Linked DNA regions of Oryzias latipes. The protein of the gene in region 1 interacts with the protein of each later gene in a pairwise test. Links are inferred from orthologs where the notes say so. Each region holds a gene or a part of one and is shown on either strand. Other genes may lie near its edges.

Region 1 (4,047 bases):
AACCCTTTTAACCCTTTGAAGCCTGAATTTATCTATGAAAAAGCAATTTCACTCATGTTTTTGTCTTCAAGTAGATCCCAAATGAGGGTAATTTGGAACTGGTCTGATGCATATTTGCATCAATGGGTGACAAGGGGTTAGTAACTGTCAATCTTGTATTTGAACCCCCTGCCCTCTCTACAGAAGAACATCAAAGGTTCAAAAGCGACTGAGTCAAGGTTCGTACTGTACCTTAAGGGTAAGGGTGGATGTCATGCTTTAAAAGCAAAAACAACTACCAGGTGAGGTGTCTCAAGATCATTATCCCAGGATCAGGAGCATCTATTTGATAAACAACGTATAACAGATTTATCATACATTTACAAATAAAAGTTGTTTTTCAATTAAATTCTGTGAAGATCGATTTAAAAGCCTGCTCCTGTTGAGCCTTTGTGCTTTACAAGGAGTTCACTTTACAAAATAAGGTGACAAGGGGCACGGCTCTCCATTAGCATCTTGGTGTAATTATTAGGAACATAAAAGAAAAGAATTCAAGCTTAAAACAATCACTTTCATAAACCCTTAATGTGATAACGTCTTCGACCTCAAAAGAAGCTCCGCCGTTAACCGACACACTTTGCAAACTGCAAAGAGAAACAACAACTCTTTTTCTAAGAGGAAGGAAGCAAAAGGGAGATTTTGTTTAAAATGATTTGTCACAACGAAAGTTATTCTGAACTGTTCTCTTCCAAAGTATGTCACACAACCAGTAGTGACACATATTTCTATATGTCTAACATTAATGTCACACAGAAACCAATTATAATATATTAATTAAGAATATTAATTTCCTCACTGAGATTAAATCAATGTTTTTATTTAGTTCTAATATCTTTTATTTGTTTAATAAATAATATTTCTTCACTCAAATCGTTGAATTTAGTTGATTATTTTCTGTGTTTGTAATGACTCTATACTGATAATTAAGTGTGCTGGACCCCAAATTCAAAGTGATCATAGTTGATCAATAACATAACATGCTGGTTGTGCTGTCAAGATTCCTGTTTTTTTGTCCAAAGTCGGTCACCAAACGAACAAAATCAATAAAAATATCAATGAAAAGTATTATATTCATTCCAAAACTATTTGTGTTGTTAAATTTTGATTTGTGTCCCCTTCGGCAACCCCCCCCCCCCCAATTCCCTCCAACAGTTGCCATGGTAACAATGCGCTTGACAAGTCCACAGTTGAGCGCAGGCGCACTGTTTAACCGTGAAGCATTGTGGGATTGCTGAATATTGACATGGCAACCAAACTGTAGATCCGTTTAGCATCCACACCGGGCTTTTTGCTGCTTCACCCCCTTAGTGATCACCCACTCGGTTGTATGCGTGTTTACCGCCGCCATGAATGCGGCGGTGGTGAAAAAGACTCAGGAAACGTTGGGGAAAGTGATAAAGAAACCACCGCTCATGGAAAAGCTGCTGAGCAAGCCGCCGTTCCGGTACCTGCACGACATCTTCATGGAGGTGAGGCGGAATTCCTGTTTTACAGTATCTTCACGACGGTGTGACTATTTCACAGCCCCTCTTTTAGTCCATTTTGTCGGAAAAAAGCGGAGCGAAAATGCCCTATATACGCTAAGAAATGCGGGGGTACGGCTAGCATCATGGCTAGTGGTATTGCACCTAAAGAAAAGCTCTTTAAGTAAGTTAGGCAGCATTAGGTAACACAGCTGATACGGCTGCCATCACTGGCAGCAAAAAGTAACATATCTGAGGACAGGAACGTTGTATTATTTCAGCAGAACTTCTGCTGTGGTTTAGTCTAAAGTGTTAGCTTCGTTAGCTACCTAGCTAGCTGATCAGCGTCGTTTAGTTGCTAGGCAGCACCTGGGCTCAGACTTCAACAAACCCATTTAACTTGGTCCCTTGTTGAACTATTCAACAGTATTTTTTTCGGATCGTTAAATGACTATGAATGAAGTTTAGTTACTTGTAGAAAAAATTGATGCCGATAACCATCTGCATCTGTGTTATAGTAGAAACAAATACTTTTTAAAACGTCTGAAACTGTGGTTTTAAACATGGATAAATGCTCCCTGGTGTTCTGTCATGGGGAAAAAACCCACTCCTATAAAAGTCACAATTCAATAAATTCTTTTCTATGTTTGCAGTGGTGTTTATACACAAAATATTCAGTATTTGTTTGATTTATTTTTTGCTTTCTTTTCTGAGAGTCTTCTGCATATTTAGTTATTATTATTTATTGATTTTTTACTTATACCAACCATTTTGACTTCTTGTTTTCATGTTGTTTTGATGCTGCCAATGCTTTTGTGCCTTAGAAATATTTTCTTGATTACCGATGAACCTGGCTTTTGTTGGTTTGGAGGTATTTATCTGAAACCATCACTAAATAAAAGAAGGAAAGAGTAACTATATCCAAAAATTTTGAGAAATGACTTATTAATAAAATAGTTATTTTGATCATTTGAAAGTATTTTTGATGCATTTTAACTTTAAAACCCCACTGTTTTGGGTTTTTTAACATGTTCTTGTGGTATTTTTCTAAGAATGGAGGACATACATGAAGAAATTGAAGCTTAGAATTACATTTCTGAGTATTTCTTTATTGAAATTGTTGTGAATCAGGAGCAGGCAGAAATTTTTTTGTGAAAGGGCTTATGGCGTAGAATCTACAGCAGCGGGCCACAAGCTCCCTACTCCGCTCCGTTCTGATGCATCCACTTGTAAACAACTGGTTCCGTGTGCGTCATCGTTTTCTTTGTCTGAGATTGGATCTGGCTCTCTCTGTATGGCTGGATAGCTCCAATATTGCTCACCATTTTTGTTCCACTGGTAATGTCTGGTTGGGGTTGTGAGAAATTTCTAATCGCCTGCAGAAACTCTGTCCTAGGAAACGACACAGGTTTTTTGATTTTGGCTAAAAACGGCATCATCATAAGTAAAGGCCACTGGGAACGCTTTGAAAATGGATCAAAGTCGACCAGAAGGGGACTTAAAATAGACAGAATAAATTAACATGTATAGAGAAGTCTCAGAGGTGTAAAGCAGCATCTGTTTTCTCAACAGAGGTTGGATCTTTTTTTCTATGCCTCACTTGTTACGTTGTCTTGTATTTCACTGCTGTTTCATACATATTTGAACAATGGAGGCACGTCCAGACAGTAATCAGAGTAAAGGAGTCGTTTAGACTCTTTACTCTGATTACATTCTCATCTCTAGGCACAGGACTTAAGCAGAGAGTTCACTAAATCTGCACTTTAGGCTGTCAAGAGTTGTTTAAAATGAGGAAAGATGTTGTTTTTTAATTATTGTTGATATGGCTAGGATTTAATCGATGTTTGCTGCTTTGAACATGAAATAAAACTCATTTTCATCTCTTGTAGGTCATCAGAACCACTGGTTTTCTGAAAGGCTTATATGAAGAAAATGAAATGAAGTCGGATAATGTCAATGTAAGTCCTCTATTCCTTTAGTATCCTGGCAACTCAAGACAAATGTGTCACAGATTTATTCTTTTATGTTCATTTGAATGCATTTGTCTACATCATCAAATATCACACACCTGCAAAGAAAACCAAGAAAACAGCAAATGTGGAAGCTGCTCTTGCTGAGAAAACTTTAAAACTTAAAGTTTTGAAGAACTGAAAGAAAAATATCAACAACTACTTACTCCACATACCTCCAAAAATGTTTTCTAAAGTGAAATATGGACGATTATAAAATGATCAAAAATGCTCTTTTCTAGCCAATCCTTTTTTTCTCTAAACAAAATGTTTTAAAAAATAGTTTTCTAAGAAAACTATCTTTAAAGTAAATCACTTGTATGGGTTCAGACTAATCCATGTTCTACAAGCAGAACATGAATAGAAAGATTTTTTAGTAATTTTAGAGGAAGCTGTCATTTATATGCTGCTATTGAAAAAAATGGAATTATGGAACAGCACATGGACGTCATATAAACTATTTTGATTTTATTAGAAATAAGCTAATCTGTATATTCCTGCATGTAAATAGTTTTTTATGTGCAAACAGGATGTTT
Region 2 (4,106 bases), on another chromosome or scaffold:
ATAGCTGACCCAAAAATGGCTTAAGGATGTATAATGTTTAGTGGCCAGTCCTGCATTTGATGAAAGATCTGGCACTCTCATTATCTCACATGGCCTGGAGATTCTATAAACCCACAGCAGCTGCTGCATGCCACGGTTAATGCCGACTTCACAAAGCAAAAATTACACGCAAAAAACATTAACTTACACAAATAGCAATTACCCTTCCCTCAGTTGTCCTTACAAGGAGTATTAAAAAAAATCTCTTGTTCCCTGGGGTGTGTAATATCACACTGCCAAATGAGTTGCTAATGTTCGTGTCCGGGCACAACCACATTTGAAGGTATAACAGCTTTCTCCTCGTGGCTATAAAGGCTGACACACAATAAGAGAACCATCCCACATTTGTGAGAAGATTAAAATAGCTATAGACTTATAAAACCGATGAATCAGCTAATGAGGGAAGGTGAATCACAACATGAATCAACTCCAGATAACCACCACACAAAAAAATCTCTTTAACAATATTCTGAATTTTGGAGCAAAACACTCTTTCCCATTGCTATGGTAGTTGTTTTGCCTGACTTGATTATTAAACTACTTAAATTATAATTATTTAAATGTGTCTTATGTAAACACAAATAGTTTACCAACAATTTTTTAATTTTATTAAAAATATGTATTGATCAAATTTCATAAGAAGAAACAAGCTACTTAATCCCATGTGTGAAAAAACTTCCTTTGTGTTTTTTTATAAAAAAATGTTGTTTTCTCCATGAAGCAATTCATCAAAAAAAGAAAATTCTGTTCATTAACATATTTTTACAGGGCAATAGACATGACATTCAAATAAATAAATAAAAACTGTTCCTTCAAACTAACAATTTGTGCACACAAATTCGAATTTTTTTATTGCGTTCACACAAATTTGCATCTCGTGACCAAAATTTTGCTTTTTATTAACATTTTGTAGGCAAAAGTTACTGTTTTGTGAACACAAATAATTCAAATTACTGTACTAGCCAAATTTGTTGGCTTAGAAATTGTGTGTGCACAAATTAGCAGGCTATTATGTAGGCCTATGAATTAATTAGAATTTTGTGCCAACAAATAAGTATACTGTGGACACAGAATGCTTATAAATTACAAATTAATTGCCCAAAAAAATGCTAAATTGTGTGCACACAAAAAAATTTAAGGCCACATATTATTTTGTTTCTCTTTTTTTCATATTTTTTTTATATATATGTACATTTAAATATGATGTTTAAGTAAAATTATTCCATCTTAAAGCCAACAAGTTAAATGTGCGACTGCGTTTGAGGAATAACTTCATATCCCAGAATCCTCTTCGGCTAAACGTAATCAGTTTCTGTCCAATCATTGATCTTCAGGACTTAGAACCGCAAAAATACGGAAAAACAAGATCAACTGTGGTGTCATCGCCTCAGCTTAATTTTTCCACATGGAAATGTCTTTGATAAAAATTCAATATGGTTTATAATACTTTGTTATAGTGCCTCTAATTTTTTTCGTTCTTATTTCAGCCGAGTCAGATATATTGAGCGTTTTCTCAACTTTAAGCTAGGCTATTCTCGCAGCTAAACAGACTTTTCATGCTAAATCTGACGGATGGAAGTCACTCCAAAACACGAGTATTCATCACCCTGCTGCCCAGAAGAGTCGACCCCCTCGGGATACAGAGAAGAGAAAGTAGGTGACTGAATGGGATGTGTGGTGCACTACATACGACGTAGTGTTAGGTCCACCATGAAAGAAAAAGTCTAAAGAGACGCCGAGGGGAAAATTTTACGGCAATAAAGTTATGCAATTATGAGTAAAAAAAATAGCTCTTAAGTTGTAAATTTATGCTTCAAAAAGTCTACATCTTATAAGTAAAAAGTCACGCGTGTTGAAATTAAAATGTTACATTTTAGATTTTTTAAATCATGTCATAGCGAATTAATCGATTTTTTTTTGTAAATGTACAACTTTATTTTCGAAAAAGTACGACTTTTTCATGTAAATGTATAATTTTTTTAAATCATAATTTTACATATTTTTTAGTTATATAATGTAGATTTTTTTTTTCTAATATTTGTATGACTTTATTCTTGTAAAATGTTAACTTTTTTCTCTTTTTATGCTGGCCTTAATACTCCATCTGTGATTTTTTTTTCTTTTCCCCTCGTATCATCCTAGTGTTTTTCAAAGCTCAGCACTTCGCTGAGGGAAAGATTGAAAAGATCCAGACGCTCCTTTGTTTCTCCTGTCTCTGTGGCCAAACGCCTTTGTGTGGACGATGCAGAGGATGAAGGGCCACACATGTCAGCAGACTCCAAGGAGGCTGTCAGGCAGCCTGCAGAAATCCCACTCAATGACAACAAAAGGGAAGCCCAGTCAGGCAGTGAGCAGACGCCTGAAGCTTTTTTACAGCACCTCAGGAAAGAAGTCAAAGAAAAAACAGAGACTCTACGTCGACTCAAGATGGTAAAGATGTACAGAAGCAAGGTACCAGCCATTTTTCAAACATCTTCAGGGGATCACCGTTTTGCTTTGCCGTAACACTTTTCTGGTCTTTCCCCCTAGAATGATTTAACCCAGCTTCAAACTTTGATCGACAAGTGGAGGCGTTGCTCCCAGAACGCGCTGTATGAACTCCAGTCAGATGTCACTGTGGACGGACGAAGGGCGAATCTGTCTGAGCTTATAGACCTCTTTGGTTTGGACGATCACTTTCTGCACTTTGACCGCCCGGAGGAGGACTTCACTACTTAACATGTTTTTTTTTTTGTTTCTGTTTTTTTTTATTTTACGACTTAAGTACCAGCAGATTAAGTGGTTCTTAATCACTTTATTTGTTGCAGGTTCTTCACAGCAAAAGCACATTTAATGTACAGAGAACTTTTTGCTCAGTTAAGAAACAAAAAAAAATGTTTCACTCAGCTGTATTTCAGCTGATAGACTGAAGTGAAGTTCTTCTTCGTTAGACGTTCAACTTCCGCTAAAAGGACTGTCAGTTCCTCAGCCTGAGCTTTGACTAGAGCCTTCAAGTTGCTTTTCACAGCAAGCTCCAGGTGCCGCTCTTTGGCTTTTGCTTGCTCTTGTTCAGGGCCTAAACAACCAAAATAAAAGCAGATAAATATTTATGCTTGTCTGGGATGACGGAATCGGCGTTTGGCGAATGTTTGTCGATCAGAAACCAACCTGCAGCTTCAGAGACGTGTCTCAGCTGCGCCACGTCCACCCGTATGTCAGGAAGCTGCAGCTCCAGAGTAGAAGTCTTTTTGCTTTTCACGTCAGCTTGTTTATAAAGCTGCTCGATTTCCTTCACACACTGCTGGATGCACTGTTGATGAGCCTGAAAAAGTAAACAGAGTTGTTCATAAAAAAAGCATAAAAAGGCTGGTTTATCGTTGCTTTGTCACTTTTCATGTCACCTCCGTCATGAAAGCAAGGTTTTTCTCCAACATGGACGCTTTCTGTGAAATGCGAGTGCCTTGTTCTGACTCGCTGTAACGCTGGAAATAAAAAAAGAGAAACGCATTAATTAAAAACAGTGTTTCATACATTTTTGCTTCTCCCTTCTTCTCAAATGTTCAATAAAGGCTTTTGAAACACATGCAGCAAAGCTATTTGTCATGCAATGTAAAACCTCACTCTGCCTAGATCTATCTACATTCAAAATTTCTCTCATGGGGTTCAAACAATGTCAGGAAGGCGAACGCTGCACAGCTGCTGAGCTACCTGTACCTGCTGCCAAAGAAAACTGGCAATGCAGCCTGGAAACTTACCATTTTACCCTCTGGGTTGTTAAAAAATAAAGCCAAAAATTAGTTAGTTGGTCTGTTTTTGTGTTTGTCCTCAAACTTTCAAAACTATTTTTAACTTTTAGACTGTGTCCAAAAGCTACATATCGTCAAATAAATTGTCTTATATTTGATTAAACAAACCAATCTGTCAGATTTTGAAAAAATGATATAAAAGAAAGTGACATGCCTACTGAAAGAGGTTTAAGTTCAGCAAATGAAGGGGGAAAAAACCCTGAGTCAATTAAAAAGGGTGTGAGTCTCCTATAAAAGATCATTCATCTGCACTGGGAGATGGGAACAATTTTCTGTTTGCAA
Region 3 (4,101 bases), on another chromosome or scaffold:
GTACAGGGTTGTGTCAGGAAGGGCATCCGGTGTAACAATCTCTGCCAAACCACCTGTGAGACTCCCTGAAAGCTGATTGGCTGTGGCGACCCCTGAAGGGACATGCAGAAGAGTGAACAACAACAACACATACTGAACCGCATCCTGAATCATGGGGAGAGATTTTAGTTTATGTATTTCAAACATGTTATAAAAACAACAATAGATACATTCATACACTCGCTGATAACTGTAGTCAGTCACTCAAGAGGTTTTTTCTAACAGAACTCAAGCAAAATAAAATGTTGGAAAAGCAGAAAGCTTATTAAAGCCTACTCCTTTATACCCACTGAACTTTGACAACAAGAAAACATGGAGTCAGTGCATCACATGTTCTGTTAATTGTAGATTACATGTAAATGTACATTTACAGTACTGCTTAGTAATGGCCAACTGGACTTTTTTATTGTTACTTTCTTATTAGAAATTTTTAAAACAGTTTTTCTTCCAGAATCTTTCGTTGTTGTTTTTTAATATACAACTATTGAACCGAAACAAAACCATGACCAAAAAATTAACGTTTGAACCAAATTGTGAATCTTTGTATCCCTAATATAGAGGAGAGATTTTTCTCCCTCTCAATAATAGGCCTGTGTGTGTGTGTGTGTTTGTGTAGGCCTTCATGTTTTTTGTGTGTTTATGTTACAGAAACCATGTAAACCAAGAGTTTTGTAACTTTGTTTGCCACGTTGTACAAAACCAAACAGCCCAAGCTAAGGATAGTAATGAGATAGCAAAATATTTTCCTTTGCTCTACAGTATTGTGCATAAATTCTCATGAATGTTGATAGTATTTAGTTACTGTGACTGTACGTTTGTGACATGGCTCTTCTATATCTTCATCCAAAGACCAAGATAAACTTTTAGGCCAATTTGTTCAAACGGGTCATTTTAAAAATAAAAGTATTTTACTCTTGTAATCACATGTTTTCTTAATGTGAGGAACTGGCTTCAATAGTTGACAGTTACCGGCTGAACGGACATCGTCTACGGTAGTTATGCTTGAATCAGGAGGAAGCGTCAGCGCGAAGCTGCGCTTTGGCGCCCAGAACGTCAGAGGCAGAATGTACCAACTGTGACGGGAAAAAGATTTACACGTTTCACACGTTTAACAGTTCACACAGAAAAAAAAATGTACATATTTCAAAGAAAAAAATTATATAGACATTCATGCTACTGCTCGGGTTTGTCCAGGTCCTCGAATTCAGCCTAACATCTTTACCACAACCCTATTTTGACATAATGGAACAGGCCTTTCCATCCCGCCCCCGCCGCCATTTTCCATGTTGTTCTGTTTTGGTGAATTCGTTTCATTTTAGTTGAATACAAACGTTTATCTTGTAACATTTGATTAGTAAGATTACCGGAATCTTGGGTTTGGTGGAGAGGAGTTTAATCTCCAGCGTTTTTCCAAGGAGACGCCGTGTTTAGGCAGCCATGTATATCAAACAGGTAAGTCATCCACTGGGTTTTTGTCTCTGCAGTGCTGCTGCTTACTTTCCCTGGTCTGGCAACAAGGCGCAGGGAACACAAAACATCTTTATACTCCCGGTCTGTAGTCTTTAATAATGTAGATATTTATTTTCTTAATCAAGCAAGCCCATTAAATGCACTCAGACGGAACTTTTAGTATTTAAATAGGACTGGACGCCCCCCTTGCCGAAGCTAAGCTAATGCTAATTTTTGTTAGCGCGGAATTGAATCCATGCGTGAATTAAGCCGAACAAAATAACATTGCGCCCACGTTTTTAATGCATATTGTTCCCCTCATACCGTACATAAACTCGCCCTCTGTCTGGAATAGCTCACAAGTTTTAAATGATAGATTTAGCATTAGCCGATGAATCCATCGCTAGCCGATCCCGGCTAGCCGAGGCCTTTTGACGGCATGTATCATACATACTACGGCATATGTGGGTGGTAACTGCTGTGGTCTGGTGCAGGTCATCATTCAGGGGTTCCGAAGTTACCGGGACCAAACTGTTGTTGATCCATTCAGCCCAAAGCACAACGTCATCGGTGAGTCTGTGCTTCATCATGATGAGTTTTGGAACACATGATTTTCCCATGTGAGTATATTTGTCTTTCTCTAAAACATGGTTCTCTCTCTCTCTCTGTTTGATTTTCAGTTGGAAGAAATGGGTCTGGAAAAAGTAACTTTTTCTATGGTATGTGGGCTTCATTTACAAAGTTTAGTTAGTTTAAATCTTTCCATTGTAGCTAAATCCAAACCTTTTTGCCCCCCGCCCTAGCCATCCAGTTCGTCCTCAGTGATGAATTCAGTCATCTGCGGCCTGAACAGCGTCTGGCCCTTCTGCATGTAAGTATGATGTCGAATTTTACCACCAGATGATTTCTGACCAACCTTTTTTTTTGCATGTTAATGGAGTCATTCTTGCTTTGTTTGTTTTCTCTCTCATGGCCGTTCTCCCCGTTGCAGGAAGGAACTGGTCCACGCGTCATATCAGCTTTTGTGGAAATTATTTTTGACAACTCTGATAACCGGCTGCCGGTAGGAAAGCCTTTTCATCCGTTCTATTTCGTTTACATTTTGTATTTTTAAACTTTGGAACTTTTAACATTCCAGTCGATCAGTTTTTGCTTTAAAAGCTGGTTTTCAAAGAAAAAAAAGATTTGTTTTTATGGGCTGTTCAGAGTTTGGTGCAGGTCTGCCTTCAGTCACCAACATTTTTTCTAAATGTAGACATACAGACCTAAAGAAAGTAGAATGTTACCTGTTGATCCAAATATATGATTGATGTATTTTAGTGTTTGTGACACCTGCAGTGAGTAACCATAGAAATATTTAAAAGCAGCACCAAAGTATTTGTCAGTCACAGATTCTGCAAGCTGTCCCACATAAAAATAGACTTTGGATCTGTATCATTCGTCATAGACGCAGTTTAACTGTGTGAGACAGAATAAATAATCCAGGAAACCACATTGTTTAATTTTTACAGATTTTATTTGTACAATGGAGCAGAAAATAAGTATTTGATCAATAACTAAAGTTAACCTCAGTACTTTGGGAAGTAACTTTGCTTTTCCAGGTTTGCATTATTTAACAGCTCACAGGCCTGTTACGTCTGTAAAGTCCCACTCTGATCATCATCTGATCTGTTTTCAAAGCGTTCTCGTGGTCTTTTTATTATGATGATGCATTCTTTAGGCAAAAAACCTCTGTTGTTTTGTACGTCATAGTTTCTGCAGAGCGGCAGGAGTTCATTAGAAATTCACCTCTAAATTGTGGGTGGGACTGTTTGGGTGGAGCACCCCCCCTTCCCTACCTTCCCCATTGCTCAGAGCAGGGAGTTTGTGGCCCCGCCCAGCGTATTTTCTACGTCACAAATACAATCCTTTTACAACTGCATTTCTTCGTCTGCTCCCCGGATTCACAACGATGAGAATAAAAGACTCAGAAATGCAGTTTTAGTCCTAATTTTCTTTATGAATGTCCCCGTCATCAGAAATATACCACAAGAACATTCTAAAAACACCATTTTCATCGCAGTGGGTCTTTAAGAAGCTCTCGTTATTACTCAGATTACTTATTAGAACAATATATAGAAACTTTAAAATACTGGCAACCTGCCTCCACCTGTGGCCCCTTAATGGTCTTATTTATTTGTCTTTATATCTTGTTAATGATGATCATCGCTGATCTTTCATTTTTTAGTGGAACAACTTTCAGAATCGGTTCTGCCACTTACATATTGTTGTACTGCTCCTAACATGAAAGGGATTCACAAACATTAAAGCTGAATTATAGCTTTGTTGATCACAGACCAAGTGAGAATTTTGTCCTTTCAGATTGACAAAGAGGAAGTCTCTCTTCGTCGTGTCATTGGTGCAAAGAAGGACCAATATTTCTTGGACAAGAAGATGGTGACGTGAGTTCTTGCTGAGCTGTGACTGCTTCTGTCCCTGTTATCACAGAGAATGACAAATGTAGGATTAAACGTCTTCCACATGCTGTTGTTGCAGTAAGAACGACGTCATGAACCTTCTGGAAAGCGCCGGTTTCTCTCGCAGTAACCCATACTACATCGTCAAACAGGGAAA

The links. The genes of interacting proteins can lie anywhere in the genome.
Region 2: the proteins of traf3ip1 (region 1) and sfr1 interact in a two-hybrid assay, tested with the Homo sapiens proteins (2 studies listed by BioGRID and IntAct). The link is inferred for Oryzias latipes from reciprocal best matches to the Homo sapiens genes TRAF3IP1 and SFR1.
Region 3: the proteins of traf3ip1 (region 1) and smc3 interact in a two-hybrid assay, tested with the Homo sapiens proteins (2 studies listed by BioGRID and IntAct). The link is inferred for Oryzias latipes from reciprocal best matches to the Homo sapiens genes TRAF3IP1 and SMC3.

The regions. Positions count from the first base shown.
Region 1 is NC_019879.2:26,425,726-26,429,772, reverse strand, and holds the start of traf3ip1 (TRAF3-interacting protein 1), read left to right. Parts: upstream 1-1,241; 5' UTR 1,242-1,385; coding exon 1,386-1,508; intron 1,509-3,391; coding exon 3,392-3,460; intron 3,461-4,047.
Region 2 is NC_019873.2:20,002,326-20,006,431, forward strand, and holds sfr1 (swi5-dependent recombination DNA repair protein 1 homolog), read left to right. Parts: upstream 1-1,356; 5' UTR 1,357-1,611; coding exon 1,612-1,692; intron 1,693-2,181; coding exon 2,182-2,490; intron 2,491-2,568; coding exon 2,569-2,757; 3' UTR 2,758-2,921; coding exon of another isoform or gene 2,922-3,094; 3' UTR 3,095-3,186; coding exon of another isoform or gene 3,187-3,340; 3' UTR 3,341-3,419; coding exon of another isoform or gene 3,420-3,500; 3' UTR 3,501-3,601; downstream 3,602-4,106. Other genes in the region: cfap43 (cilia- and flagella-associated protein 43), read right to left, coding at 2,922-3,094, 3,187-3,340, 3,420-3,500. UniProt on the Homo sapiens protein: Component of the SWI5-SFR1 complex, a complex required for double-strand break repair via homologous recombination. Acts as a transcriptional modulator for ESR1.
Region 3 is NC_019859.2:36,679,620-36,683,720, forward strand, and holds the start of smc3 (structural maintenance of chromosomes protein 3), read left to right. Parts: upstream 1-1,296; 5' UTR 1,297-1,476; coding exon 1,477-1,491; intron 1,492-1,982; coding exon 1,983-2,058; intron 2,059-2,168; coding exon 2,169-2,207; intron 2,208-2,291; coding exon 2,292-2,359; intron 2,360-2,479; coding exon 2,480-2,551; intron 2,552-3,849; coding exon 3,850-3,929; intron 3,930-4,023; coding exon 4,024-4,101. UniProt on the Homo sapiens protein: Central component of cohesin, a complex required for chromosome cohesion during the cell cycle. The cohesin complex may form a large proteinaceous ring within which sister chromatids can be trapped.